Notamacropus eugenii: one gene and its partner. The protein of the gene in region 1 purifies or fractionates together with the protein of each later gene. This does not show direct contact. Links are inferred from orthologs where the notes say so. Each region holds a gene or a part of one and is shown on either strand. Other genes may lie near its edges.

Evidence for each region.
Region 2: the proteins of LURAP1 (region 1) and CDC42BPB purify together in Homo sapiens (co-immunoprecipitation; 3 studies listed by BioGRID and IntAct, with this or other methods). This does not show direct contact. The link is inferred for Notamacropus eugenii from reciprocal best matches to the Homo sapiens genes LURAP1 and CDC42BPB.

What each region holds. Positions count from the first base shown.
Region 1 is NC_092873.1:507,293,808-507,301,211, forward strand, and holds the start of LURAP1 (leucine rich adaptor protein 1), read left to right. Parts: upstream 1-4,277; 5' UTR 4,278-4,409; coding exon 4,410-4,613; intron 4,614-7,404. Other genes in the region: POMGNT1 (protein O-linked-mannose beta-1,2-N-acetylglucosaminyltransferase 1), read right to left, coding at 1-26. UniProt on the Homo sapiens protein: Acts as an activator of the canonical NF-kappa-B pathway and drive the production of pro-inflammatory cytokines. Promotes the antigen (Ag)-presenting and priming function of dendritic cells via the canonical NF-kappa-B pathway.
Region 2 is NC_092872.1:350,271,509-350,279,209, forward strand, and holds the start of CDC42BPB (serine/threonine-protein kinase MRCK beta), read left to right. Parts: upstream 1-4,524; 5' UTR 4,525-4,867; coding exon 4,868-5,042; intron 5,043-7,701. UniProt on the Homo sapiens protein: Serine/threonine-protein kinase which is an important downstream effector of CDC42 and plays a role in the regulation of cytoskeleton reorganization and cell migration. Regulates actin cytoskeletal reorganization via phosphorylation of PPP1R12C and MYL9/MLC2.

The DNA of each region.
Region 1 (7,404 bases):
GAGGGGCCGGGCTTCCACTCGTCCATGCCCGGAGCGGCCGGGCCCGGGCTCCTCACTAGGGGCTGCTCGGAGCCCCAGTCATTGCACACCTGGCGGCATGGGAGGGGGAGCCTGGAGGGGCGCAGCACTCCCCTCCCAGGCGGCACAGCCTGGCCCAGCAGGGGGGCCCCTCGCGCCCTGAACGTCCCCCCCTTCCAGCTCCCGGCCCCCACCCCCGCCCCCGCGATCGCCCCCCAGCTCCGGCCCCCGCCCCCGCCCGCCTCACGCACTCACGGCCGTCAGGGGGCGCCGCGGAGCGCGCCTAGCGCAGCCCCGGCAGGCTCAGGGCGGGCAGCAGCGGCAGCGGGTGGGCCCGCAGCGAGCCGCCTCCTCCATGCTGCCTCCCGACCCCTCCCCGCCCCGCCCCGCCCCGGCCCGGCCCGTAGCTTCCGGTCTCCGCTGGGTCAGAGGCCGGAGGAGGGAGGGGCTTAAAGGGCCGCGGAGCGGGAGGGGCGGGAGAAGAGGCGGAGGGGGAGGAGCCCCGAGGAGCCGTGAGGGCCCCGGCCCCGCCCCCGGAGCCCCCTGGGGAGGCGGGGATCTGGAGGACTAGCAGACCGAGGTTCCAGGAGGCGAGCGTGGGGAGGGAGAAGTTCCGAGGCCGGCACCCCGGGCAGGCGCATCGTCCTCGGGCGTGGGGGCCTCAGCGGCCCCCCTGAACTGCGCTTTCTAAAGCTTGGGAGGCCTGCTTCCGCAGCCTTGGTGTCCATGGTAACCAAAGGGCCGTAACTGTCCGCTTTTAGATGCCTGATTCGAGCCAGGGTCCCCCACTCTTCACCAAGGGCCCTGCCCGTGGGGTCCGTGACACCCCAAGAGTTAGAACCGTCCAGCCCCCTCCCCCTTTACACGTCCAGAGACAGGGATTCCTGGGAGAACCCTGGGCTTCCCGGGGCGGGAAAGGGAACCAAGTCAAGGTCACCCGCAGTGTCTTAGCTCCCTGTACTTGAGAGGGGAGCACGTGGGAGGCCCAGGGACCGAGAGCGACTTGGCCAAAGCCCCCTAAAGAGCACGTGGATGGAGCGGGTCTTCAAAGCGGGCTTTAAGGACTCCAAGTAGGAACAGGAGGGCAGCGGGGGCAGCCTTGGAGTCAGGGAAGTCCTGGGTTCGAATCCTACTCAGAGTAGGTCGGACAAATCCCTGTTCCTCTCTGAGTCTTTCTTCCATCATCTATAAAATGGAGGTAATACCAAGAATACTTCACCACCTCACTGGGGAGATGCCAGTGTAGGTGCCATGCCCTCCAAACTCTGGAGATGCCACTTATTGGGGTGCTGAGGTAGAAAGGTGAAAAACCAGAGCCCCACTTACTGCCCACCCCCATGGACTTCAGATGCAGGAGATTTCGTTTTCCCATGTGGGAATTTGTTTTGCTCCTAGGATTCTCTCTCTCTCTCTTTTTAAGGGGGTGGAAAGGAGAGGCTTAAGCTATAGTGATGTAAAAAAAGAAGGAAAGAAAGAAAGGGGAGGAGGCACCAAAGCAGGTTAAAACCCAGAAAAGCCCAGGAGGAGGTCCAGAGGGCATCCCAGACCAGCAAGACAGCATCAGCAGCATCCCATGATAGGAATTTCTTATGAAGTCATCAATTTGTTATAGAGATTCATTGTTTCATATACAATCTTCTGTGCCTACAGAATGTTAATTTTAATTGGTATTTGTCAAGCACAGAATGCCAAATATACATATATTTGTATATATATATTTAAATCCAGGGTTACACAATTTTAACAAGCTGGCATCATTTTATAAAATTCTGAAACTTTTTTTTAAAAATTCATTTAACCTCACATTGGTGCCCCCCTAAAGCTTTTTACTCAGTTTGGCTTCTCATCAGAAAGTGAGGGGGTGACTTCCAGTTGGCCCCAAGCACCCATGGGTTCTAGAAGCTGGTAGGGAGGAGCCCGGGGGGAGGAGGGGAAAAGGACTTACTGGATTTTCCTTCCTTCCTTTTTTTTTTAAATTGGAAAGGTTTTTGGAAAGGCCTTTGCAAGCACCAAGATTGGCAGTAACCTGTAAGAGTTTTACAAAATGATGTCTGCTCATGAATGGATTGGAGAAGGGGAAGAACATTGCAATGGGAAAACAAATGGAAGGCTTGAGTAAGTGACGCAGCGTAAAGTTGTGGGTAGGGTTCATAGACCTGCAGCCAGAAATACTTGAGTTCAAATCCCATCTCAGACATTTGCTGTGTGACCTTGGAGGAGTCACTTAACCTCTGTTTCCTTACCCATAAAATGGAGACACAAATAATAGAAGCGTGTGGTCATAAGGTAATTGTGAGGACTCACTAGATAATAAAATATGTGCTTTGTGGATGTTATTGTTATTTGACCAGGCAAGAGGTGATGAGGGCCTGAACTATCCAGGGTCCGCGTGACTTGAGAAAGAGGACTGTTATCTGGAGAGACGTAGAAGGGTATGACCCCTTCCCTCACTGTGCTCTCACCACAGCCTCAAGGACGGTTATTCTTATTTAAAAGATAGTCCAGAGAACTAAAGTGACTTAGCCCAGGCCACACACACAGCAGTCAATGGCAGATGGAACGCTAGATTCCAGATTTGGTGGTACTTTCCTCATTATTTTTAGATCCCCATGGCTTTAGGGGGAAGGGTTTGGGTCCTTGCCCAGTTAATGTCCCCAAGGTCTAATATAGGATACAGGAATCCAGGGGGTATATATTAATATTGTAGATGATAAAGAGGAGGAGGAAGAAGGAAGAGGATGCCACACTTACCACTCCCTTCTCCACCCCCTCTAGGCTGTTGCCTAGCTACTCCCTTCCCTAGGGCCAATTAATTTTTAGGGAGAGAAAACAGGGACAGGAGGGGGTGGGGAATAGGGTTTGGGGGCAGGGAGATTATCAATCTGGGTTCTTTACATCCAGAGGCCCCTTGGAATCAAGTTCAGAATCCCCCAAGGTCTCTAGCCTTGCTCTTGGGAGGAGGAGGGAGGGAAGGGAGTTTCTAGGCTGAAACACAAACTGAGGAATCTTGGATTTTTCCTAATATAGACTCAGATTTTCGAAATGTTCAAATCTGTTTCTGAGAAGGTTAGACTATTCAGTACTTAAGAACAGAGGACTCAGCCCATGAGGATGCCAGAACCCCAGGCTTGGAATCAGAGGCTTGTGGAATCTTCCACCTAGATTTTTGGACCTTTGGGACATAGAACTGAGAATATGAAAGCTGGAAGAGATCTTAGAACATGGAACAGAGAGTGCTATAGTTGAAAGAAACATAAAGAGGTAGAACTGAGAACATAAGACAGATTTAGGAAGGTCCTTAGAAAACAGTGTCAGAACTGGTGATGGGGAGAGGAGAGAATAGCAGAGGTGGGCTTGGAACAGAGAACAGAGGTCAGAGCTTGAAGGGATCCTAGAACAGGGAATGTCAGAGGTGGTTGGGGCTGTAGAACAAGGAATATCAGAGCTGGGAGGGACCTTAGAACAGAGAAAGTTAGAACTAGAACAAACAGAGGTTCTCTAGTACATGCCCTGCCTGTTACCAATAGTAGACCTTTATACTGACATAGATATGTCTTTCCTTTTCTGTTTTTCCTTCCAATTATTTTTCTCCTCAGAGCCTCACTTTGACAACCCAGTGAGCTGGAGGTACCCCAATTATTGTTAGCCTCATTGAGGCAGCTATAATGATGAAAGTGGAGTCAGGAAAACCTGAGTTCCAATTTGGCCTCAGACTTAGCTGTGTGACCCTGGACAAGTCACTTAACGGCTGTTTGCCTCAGTTTCCCCAACTGTAAAATGGGGATAATAACGTTGCCTGAGTTGTGAGGACACTGAGAAGGGATTTGCCCAGGGTCCCACAGCCTCCTGTCCGAGACCCAGGTCTCTCTCCCAACTCCAAGATCAGCACGTTATCCGTACTTCCGCCCATCATTTACAGATGGAGAAGGTGAGCTCTGGAGAGGAGTCGATGGCACACCATCCAGCCGGGAAGCCTCAGTGGCTAGGAGACTAGAACCCGGGTCTGCTGTCTGGGTAGCGCGGGAAAAGAGCATCTGGCCTCTAAAGTAGCTGCGCAGGAGGCCGGGCTCTGCCCTGATATTTGCGGCGCTGTCGGGTCCGCCCCCAGCCCGGGCTTGCAGTTAGTTCCAAGCTAGATTCTGCGGGGTTCGGCTGATCGCAGAGGAAAGGGGGGGAATCTGGAGTCCAGGTCGTCCCCGGCCTCCAGCTCAGGCTCCGCCCCGCTCCGGACCTCATCGGGTTCCGAGATCTGAAACTCCGGAATCTGAAGCTCCACTCTGCGTCGGGGGAAGAGCCAGGAGAAGGGTGGGAGCTAGACGTCCGGGCGGCCCCGCCCCGTAGGGGCAGGGGGGCGGGGGAAGCGAAGCATCCTGGGCCCCTCATGCCCCCTCATGGAGGGGACCCCGGAGTGCTCGGCGCCCGACCTGCGGGAAGTAGAGGGCAAGGTGGGCCGGAAGACTCCCGAGGGGCTGCTCCGCAGCTTGCGGGGCGAGGGAGAGCCCGTCTCCGCGCTGCTGCAGCCTCCCCGAAGGACGCCAGAAGCCGGCCGCGGCCTGGGTCTGGGCGACAAGGTCACGGCGCTAAGGCTGGAGTTGGTGAGTGAGTCCCTCCCTTGGGCCCCCCCGGCCCCCGCCAGTCTCCGTGCCCAGGCGGTCTCTCCGCGCCGAAGGGTTCAATAAAGCTCCTGCCCACAGGGTTAAAGCCTGGCTAGGCGTGAGCTGACCCCAGAGATGGATGGGGCTTTGGGAGACTGGAAGCCTAAGTCTGGTTCAGCCTCCACTCCCAGAGCTGGGGAAAGGACCTTCCGGGGCTTTTTCCCTCGGTCGTCTGGTTCCAGGGTAAAAGGCCAGGTTTGTTTTCTTTTTCCGTGAGCAATGTTGGGGCATACCTTACACCCCAGACAACCCCCACCCCCCCATCCAGCACAGGGACCAAACACCGTCGCTGCCTTGGCCCGGGCTGTAATGCCAACTGTCAGCAGGCTGCAGGACCCTGGACAAGACCCTTCCCTCAGTGGGACCCGGTCTCTTCTGTGCAAAGAAGGTATTGAAAAAAGAAGGGTTCTCGGACTCTTTCCGTCCCATCTCTTATCGGACGACCCCCACACCTTTCACCAAAGACAGGGCTCTAGAGAAGCCACTGCGGCGGTGGTGACGAATCTCCCCAGCCGTCTCCTCTTTCCCGGACCCTGGCAACCTCCCATTCCCCAATGCCCCCTGCGCTAGGGTAAGGAGCCGGGCTCCGAGGAGCCACCGTGGGGATGTGTTTGTGTTGGGCAGAAGGTGCCACACCCCACTCACGTCTTTGCAGGACCCCGGCTCTGCCAAAGACAGAGTCCCCTCTCCCCCTCCCCAGGATCTGAGGGCTCAGAGTGAGAAACAGAGGCAGGTGGAACCTGATGGAGGGGACCCTGAATTGGACGTCAGTGAAAGGTGCTCGGCTGCTATGTGACCTTGGGCAACTCCTTCAATTCAATGAGTCTCATTTTCCACTTTGTAACTTTGCGGGGGGAGGGGGAAGAGACGGGGAGAACAGCGGTTAGGCAAAGGAAAACCTTATTTTGATGATTGCTTATACTGCCTCCTGGTGGCCTCGGGGTAACCCTGGAGTCTCTTCTGAGGGAGCTCTGCTGAGCTGGCCTGGCATATGGGGAGAAGGGAGAGCTCTCAGGCTGGCACTGAGCCACCCAGCACCATGGTGCCTCTAGAGAACTCCCCACCAATCAACAGACTGTAGGTTTGCTGTCCAAGGCCAAGGGCATAGAAGACTGGCCTCTTGCATCACAGGGCTTTCCACTAGAAAAGAGAATTGTTTTCAGCTAAAGGCTGCCTGTGTTGGAATGACCTGGCTCCAGTCTATGATGACATCATGGGATTAATAATAGTTATAGCCCCCATTTCTACAGAAAAGTTTACGAAGCACTTCCCCTCTCTGCCCCTCAAAGAACCAGTTGTTACCCCACCTTACAGATAGGGAAACTGAGGCCCAGAGGTAGAAGGCTGAGGTCACACAGCTAGTGTGAGGCCTAGAAATGCTTGTCCCAGGCTCTTTCCCCTTCGGTGTTAACACTTTCTAACTTCTCCTGCTATCAGCTGAAAGGGGTATTTTCACAACCTTTGAATTTTCATCCCCATGAGGAAGTCTGCTTAATTGGGGTGGGAACTGTGCCCCAAAACCCCAAGTCTGGCATCCCAGGGACCCAGCTGGCTTTGAGACCCAGGTGTCCTGGTGCCTGGCCTCATCTAATCATCTTCTCCTTTCCCCTGGGGTGGGAGAATGGCTAGGGCCTACAATTTTCCATGGATCTGTGACTCCCTAAGCTGTGGACTGCATGGTGGAGGACCCACCTCTCAATGCCTACTCTGTCCCTGACAGGCTGTGAGTACTGGCAACTCTCTTGTCTCCAGGTCTTAGTTTCCTTCCCTGTCTAAGGACCCTGGTGGTCTGACATTCTATTAGGCCCTTTCCAGCTTGGAGACTCTGTGACTTTGGGCACTGGCCCTTTAAAGTTCCCTGTTATCTTCCCAAAATCTGTGTGTGGGAAGGGAGGAGGGCTCTACTCTTCCTGCCTCCATCTGCCAACCCAGCTGTCCCACTCAAGATGGGCTGGCACAGGGTCCTCCTTATGCCCAATCCCCAGCCTTTTTCTCCCTTCCTGATCAGAGCTGGGCCAAGAGTACGAATGTGGCTGCAGAAGGGGCCCCTTGGTGAGCTGGGGTGGGGTGTGGGGGTGGGGAGGTGGGGGGTGGGGCATTTCTCTCCCTTCCCCCCAGGAGTCCTCCCACTCCTGCTCCTGTTGCCTTGGTAACTAGAATCCCTGGATATATTCTAACCCTGGCTGCCAGTGTGGTGTCTAGCCCTGCCCCTTCCAAGCTGAGTGACCTTGAACAAGTCCTGTTCCTCCTGAGGGTCTCAGTTTCCTTTTCTGTAAAATTATAGCCTCAGACAAGGAGGTGATTCCCAAGGTTCCTTGGAGCTTGGACATTCTGTGCTCCCACGTTCTCTGAGAATCCCCAAATGCCTCCAGCAAGGGCTATGGAAGGGAGGAGGGGACTGGGAGTCAGGAAGTGTGGAATCCCTGCTTTTCCCTGCAGCCTGGACTGTGACGTTACTCTCCACCCTTCACCCCCCCCACACATCCATACATATTCATATATTCATACCTATTTTCTGGTTCAGATTACTTTTTCCTTAGAACTAAGGGTTGTTGCCTGGTTCTTAGAAATCTGTAGGGGGAAAAAAACGGCAATCTGTAGGGGCTGTGTTCTCTCTCTGGCAGTTAGGTGGTGCATTGGATAGAGTACCAGGTGTGGAATCAGGAAGACTCATTTTTATGAGTTCAAATCTGGCCTCAGAGACTTCCTAGCTGTGTGACCTTGGGCAAGT
Region 2 (7,701 bases), on another chromosome or scaffold:
ACACTAGGCATGGGGAGAGATATAAATGGTCTTGGTTCTGTAGGAGTTTTTGGTTTAGTGGGGGAATAACACATTTACATAACTACAGTACACAATAATGCAGCATAAAGATGTTAGATGCTAAACAAAGTTTATTATCACTTATGTGGGAGGGGAGAATGAGTGTGGTCATGGAAAGCAACAATCAATTCTGGCACTTGGGGCTGGCTGCACAAAACACTCCCTGGGCAAGATGTGGAAGTCACAGTAGCTCCCCAAAGTGGTAAGAGGTGGCTGCTAGAGAAGTTACTATGGGGGAGGTAAAGACATTTAATCGGATGAAGCCATCCTGGGGGGAGAAGCACCAACTGGTGGATTACTATTTTATTTTTCTTGCTAACTAGGTGCTGGTTGTTTTAATACTCCTGAAAAACAGCAATTGTTTAAATACTGTCAATTGCAGCACCTAGGTGAAAAGCTCTCATCACACTGCCCTAGTTACAGCTCTGGCTTCAGGGGTAAAATCTGAGTCAGTTTTTAAAGGAAGAGTAGGAATTCAATACAAGAGAGGTGCACATGCCAAGCACTGGTAACGGAAGAGACAAAGAAACATAAAGATGGGCTGCTGCTTCATGTTTTCTAGAGAGCAAGGAATAGTATAGTTTGTGTGAAGTTGTTTGTCCTTCATTCTTGAAGTGAACCAATGACATTAGGAGGGGGAGGTCTTGACTTGCAGCTCTGTGCAAAGCCCTCAGCCCCACTCTCTCCTCTGGAGTCATCCAAGTCCAGTGGCAAGACCTAGATGAGGATGATTGGTGAGGGTCCCTGATGCTGTGGGAGACCTTGGCCAAGGTCTTTCCCAGGTCTCAGTTTGTTTGAGGCAAGACCCATTCAGCAGTTGAAGGTTAAGTGGAGTGGGTGGAAAGGAATACCATGAATTAAGGCTTGGAAGAATAGGGTGGTGACAAATTTTAGAGGACCTTGAATGGGAGCAAATTTTCAACTTTATTTTGTAGAAAGAAGACACTGGCATTTTTTGAACAGATGAGTGACACAATAAATCTACACATAAAGAATGTGATTGTATGAAGAGTGAATTGGAGGGGAGTGGAAATAGGAACACCTATTCAGGAGTTCCTGAAATAGTCTATGTAGGTGTAAATAGGGTATTCAGTGGGAAGAGAAGAGTTGGGTAGATATTAGGTGGTGTAGCTGATGAAACACTGGACCTGGAGTCAGAAACATCTGGGTTTAGAACTAGCCTCAGACACATAATAGCCCTGTGAGCCAAGGCAAATCATTTAACCTTTGTTAGTCTGTTTCCCCATCAGTAAAATAGGGATAACAATAGCACTTAATCTACACGGTAGCTGTGAGGATAAGAGATAATATATGCAAAGTACTTGGCAAAGCTCTATATAAATGCTGTTATTTTTATTGTGTAGGTGGTATCTTTAGGTCTTTCAACATACATTTAAATGCTGACTATGATATGTCTGTGCCAGGTATCAGCGATGATTAAAGACATTCTTAGCTCTCAAGGAATTTGTAATCAAATAGTTTGCAATGATTATTAGATTGTATGCAATCTGATATTAAATGTTACTTCCTTTTTGTAACACATGCTTTACAAATACTCTGCTTGGTACTGTCACTAGGACTGGTGAGGACCAGAATCACACAATTCTAGGGTTAAGATCCATGCCACTGAATCCAACGCACACTTGAAGTCCAACACATACCCATGAAAATGTATCAGAGAGGTAGGTGAGTCAACCTCCGTTTTAAGACTCCAGAGAAAGCCCAATGCCTTTCTGGACAGCTCTAATTATTAGGAAGTTTTTTCCTAATAAAAAACGTAAATTTTCCCCTTTTCAGCTTCTGCCCACTCTTCTTGGTTCTTTTCCTTTGAGACCAAAGAGAATAATACATCTAATCCCTCTTCCACAGGACAACCCTTCAAATACTTGACAGCTCTGTCCTTCTTTAGCCTTCTATTCTCCAAGCTACATAACCCCAGTTATTTCAACTAATTCTTACATGACAAGAACCCAATGCCTTTCATGACTGATCAATGTCCTTAAAGATAATACTCCAAATGTGATCTGACCTTGGTGTAGAGGGATCTTTATTCTTGGAAGCTATGACTCTGTCAACATAGACTAAGACTGCTTAAGCTTTCTTGGATGTTGCACCACACTGCTGACACCTACTGAGTGTGCTGTCCATTAAAACCTCTAGATTTTTCATCATTGCTAGCTAACCATGTCTTTCTCCATAGTGTACTTATGAAATTGATTTTTTTTAACCAAAGCATACATTTATTCTAAAATATTTCATTTTATTAGATTCCATCTAATGTACCAGTGACTCCTAGTCTACCACTTTACTTAGACTACAGTCTATTTCTCCCCAGAATCAGCCCAACCAAACTCCCTAACATTTCCTTGGTATTTCAGAAGGATGGGTCACAAAACAACTTAAATAAAGGCCTTTTCCTTTTTGGGACTCAGAGAACTTTATTTCTTTGGTTCAAGCACTTACCACATATTACTTCCATATTCTTACTTATGTGCTTGTTACACTGCTCCTATTACACCGTGAGGTCAATGATGGAAAGGTCTTAGTCAAATGCAAACTTTCCAGTGCTCTCTACACAGTACAGAGCAAAACAAAATGTTTGTTGAATTTGAATGCCTAGAAGAAAAATACACGTGTGTAGATGGGATTTGGACAGAATCATTGCTCTACCATGGAGGTATGTGTTTGTATATTATATAAACACTACAGTTGCTATACATGTGTGAACATATATACATGTACACACAAGCAGAATCACTGTTACACCATGGGGGTAGGTGCATGTAATGCTGATAGGGGCTGGCTGTGCCCTACCTGTGGCAGAGTCTTCAGAGCTTCTATCAGTTTGATCAGCCACAGCTGGACACACTGTACGCTGACTCAGTGTAAGGTGATGTCACTTGGTTCTCTCCCAATACAAAATCAACAATCCGTATCTATACTACAGTTGTAATATGTACACACACACACACAATACACACAATAGTTGTAAAAAAGTATATATATTTGTATGTGTATGCAAACCCACCTACCCATGGAGGACAATGACCCTGTGTACGTATGTATGTTTTATATATATGTACACACTCACCTCATCTCCATAGTGAAAGGATGCTTCTGTGTGCGCATGTGATGTGTGCATACACACATACGTGCATTTAATACACACATATTCACGTCTCCATGGTGGAATGTATGTATGCACGTACATACATACACACACCGTGCATTTTGTGTCCGTACATAACCAGTTACATAGACACACATTACATGCTACATGTGTACCCCCGCCCTCCCTCTCCCTACACGGCGGTACAATGACTTTGTCACGGCCTGGATCGTCTCCGGGCACCGAAGGCCTGTCCTACACCCAACAGTCCTGAGTCCGGCGGGCTTCCAGGGCGGACCCAGAGGTCGTCCCTAGGGAGCCGCCGGCCTGCAGGTGACCCCGGACTCGCCCAGAGGAGGAATGTGCCCACTTATCGGGAGCCAGCGGCGCTGCCCTGCCCTCCGCGCCGCTCCGATAGCGGGGGCCACGCTGGCCCGCCGCACCCGGACACAGGACGCGCCCCGGGGGGGGCATTTTATAGCTCGTCCCTCGCCCCCTGTCCCCTACAAGCCTGGGTGTCCCCCAGCGCCCACGACGGGCCCTTCCCGCTCGGGGCCCCTCTGCCGGAGCCCTCCCGGGAATTCGTTCGCGCCCGTCAAGCACCATTCAAGGACGGAGGGGGGACTGCGGGGTGGCCGAGCCAGGCCGAGCGGCGGGGCCGGGGCCGCCGCCCTCCTCCCGTTTCCTCGGCTCCCACGCGCGGTCAGCGCAATCACGGACCTAGCCCAGGGGAGTCCCGTGCGCGCCCCAGCCCACTTCCACCACCGCCACGCCCGGGAGCCGACAGCGGGCACGCGGGGTGGAGGGGAATGGGGGGGCTGGGATGGGGGTGGGAAGAGCGGAGCTCCGGGCAGGAAAGTCCAGGGAGCCTCGCCCACCCTCCTTCCTCTCCCTTCCCCCCTCCCTTCCCTGTCTCCCGGCCTACGGCAAGCGGCGAAGACCCCGTCCTGGGTGCGCAAAGGCGAAAAAGGACGGGAGCAGAGGGAGGAAAAGTAGGGAGGGGAGGAATTGCGCGGTGAGGTCAGCGTCGCGGAGGGGCCGGGAGGGGCCGGGCGGGGCGGGGCGGGGAGGAGGGGGGCGGCGGCCGGCCCCGGGATTGGTCGGCTGGCAGGCTGGCTGGGAGCTTGCGCCGCGATCCGGCCTGGCTCACGCACCCGGCTCAGGGTGAAGGGGGGGCGGGGAAGGAGGCGGGCAGCTTCGGGTGCTGAGGCGACTGGCGGGCGGGCGGACGGACGGACGGGGACGCATCGCCCGAATCTCCGGAACCCACCGCCACCGGAGGCCGGAGGCCGGGCGGGGTGCGCGTGCGTGGGAGAGACGGCGGCTGCGCGCGCTGAGGGCGCGGGGTTGGTTGTGTGTGTGCTTGTGTGTGTGCGTGAGGAGCGTCGCGGCTGAGCTGGGCAAGGGGCGGCCTGGGGGAGGGCGCCGGCTCATGGCCCCGAGGGGCCAGGGGCCCCAAACCCTTCGCTTCTCGGGAGGAGCCCCGGAAGATGTCGGCTTAGTCGGGAGCGGCCGCCGCCGCCCCCGCGCCGTTGCCCGCTCCGGGACTCCTCGCTGCCCAGTCCCTCCATCGCCGGGGGGCTCGCCCTAACTCCGGGCCGCGGATAGCGGCGGCCTCCGCCTGGCCGGCCTTGCAGGCGGCGGAGCCGAGGCCGCCCCGCGCGCCGCGTCCTGAGCGAGCGAGGGCGTGCGGGCATCATGTCGGCCAAGGTGCGGCTCAAGAAGCTGGAGCAGCTGCTCCTGGACGGGCCGTGGCGCAACGAGAGCTCGCTGAGCGTGGAGGCCCTGCTGGACGTGCTCATCTGCCTCTACACCGAGTGCAGCCAGTCGGCCCTGCGCAGGGACAAGTATGTGGCCGAGTTCCTCGAGTGGGGTGAGTGCGAGCGGCCCCCCCGCGCCGCGCCCTCCCCTTGTGCGCTTGTCCTGGCGTCCCCTTCCTCCCCCGGGCCTCCCTCCTCCACCTCCTTCCGTCCTCCCTCCTTCCCTCCCTCCCTCCTTCCCTTCCTCCCTTCCTCGTTCCCTCCTTTCCTTCCTCCCTTCCTTCCTTCCTCCCTTCCTTCCTCCTTCTCTTCCTTCCTCCCTTCCTCTCTTCCTTCCTTCCTCCCTCCCTTCTTCCCTCCCTCCTTCCTTCCCCCCCTCTTCCCTCCCTTCTTCCTTCCCTTTCTTCCTCCCTCCCTTCCTTCCTCCCTCCCTCCCTTCCTTCTTTCCTCCCTCCCTCCCTTCCTCTTTCCTTCTTTCCCTCCTTCCTTCCTTCTCTTTGCCCCCTTTTTCCCACTCTCCTGCCTCTTATCTTGCACCTTAGATCCCCATTTTTTCCTTTTAATTCTCTGCTCCCGATCCACTCCAGACCTCCTTGGCCTTCACTCTCTTTCCCCCGTTCCCTCTTGGAGGGCTGCATCTCCTGCCATGTCCCTGATTCCCCTAATAGCACTCACTATGTACAGCTTCCTAGATCAGCCCCTAGGATATCATATCCTGCCGAGCTCGCTGGGATATCCGCTCCTCACCACCCCCACCCCTTTGGCAGCCAAACTTAACCCTTGGTCTCTGGTGCACTGCCCATGAGAGGAGTCCATAAGCTGCATTCTAGGATGTGTAACACACATTAAGTGCTGAGAGAGGGGGAGAGGAATGTGTGGAAGGGAGGGGAAGGTAGAAGGTAGACCTAGACTTTGCCCTTCTACCCTATTATCCACTTCTGGTTTCTGTCCCACTCCTCCCTTCCCAATTTCCTGTTACTTGGGGCCTAGCATCTGTTGATCTGTCAAAGGCTAGGGACACCTCCATGACCACTGTTCAGATGATTTTTCAGTGTTGTCTTTCCAATACCAACTCCAGAGGTGTTGCATTTTTATGTCCACTAATATCTTTGCCGATGAGATTATTTTCAACGTGATGGCGATGTGTTTGTGATGATATTATTTGGAGGTAGCCGGAAATCCAAACTGTGGGACAATAGACTTTTTCTCCCTTTCCTGTTGGTAGAGGCTCATCGTGCTTTAGGCAGTCCTCCAAATGATGCTTGAATAAATATCTCTAAAGATCTATTAGGAGAAAAGTCTGAACAAATTAAAAAAAACTTTAAAAAAGCAGTTCTTGTGAAATAGTAGGTAGAACTTTGCATGTTAGGTGATTAAACCCTTTTCTACCTAAAAGGCAGCCTGGTGTAGTGGGCATAGTACTGAACTCCAGGGAGGAGGACCCAGGTTTGAGTTTTGTCCTTTGATACTGTCTGCTGACCCTGGGCAAATCACCTTTCTGTTCTAGGCAACTCTAAGAGAAGGTACTAACCTGCATTGACAGAGGGAATTTCTTCATCTGGGAGTTCTCAAACTCCATTCTTATCCCTGTAGATTACCTAGTGTAAGGGCTTTGGTGTTCTTCCATACAAAGCAGTAGGAAGGCAGAGTAAAAATATCCCAAATCATGGAATTACAGATTTAGATTGCACCTTATTTTAAGTTCCACATTCTTTAGGTCAGTACCTTGTGAAAATCTCATAGGTTCTCAATACTTGTCTTCTTATTTCAGATATCACTGATTAGGTTCTGCCAAGTATTTATAATCATTGGAACTCAGTAAATGTGAATTATTGTATTCTTGATTAAAGACTTAAGCTATTTATGCTACATTGAAAAAAAACAAACCCACTTTTGGGTAACCAAATTTTTTTTTTAAATGTTGAATTATTTTGAGACAATTTTTCTTCTCCTTGGTAAAATGTTAAGATCACGGAAAATCAACGAGAAAATGATGCACTGAAAAAGTTGCTGGTTCTGTTCAATTTCTTTGGGTGCCACCATTCTTTGTTACATGCGATATTAACGAATTGGTTTCATTTCCTTTGATCCCCTTTTCAGGGTCAATAGTACAATGTACAATTGAATTATTAACCAATGTTACATCTGCTTTTAAAAGGGATGGTTTGAGGCTTTATATTTACTTATTTTCTAAATACTGTGGCTTCCATTCTTCCTTTATCAACCACTTGATTTTGAAAGGCCAGGACAAGATTACAAGTTAAGGGATGAGAGTAAGGCATCAGTTGTTGGATGATATAGAATTGATCTGTTAGGTTTAGTAGAATGAGCAACCTGATAGCTGTATGGTCGTCATTCTTAAGATTGGGTAACTTTTATATTGGTATTCATTGTGCAGTTGAACTGACAAATAATTTAGGTTCCAGCTCTCTGTAGCTCATTTGTGACTCGTCACTGTAAATTGTAAGTGGACTTGAATAGGAAAACAAAACTGTTAAATGTGTGATACTGAAATTGGTAAATTTTAACTCTTAATGGTATAATCATTATACATTATAGTAGGGGTCTTCATGTAATTATGTAACTTTGTATAAGTTATCGTTAGGGACAAAGTATAGTAAAACATTTTGGATTTATGTAGCATCTTCATTCCAAAGAACTTCACACTTTTCCAAAATTGGAAAGGGATGTAGATAAAATTTTAGTCTTTGTTACCATGTTTGTTCTGTACTAAAATCTTGTAGTTATATATGCATATTTCTTCAGTAGATC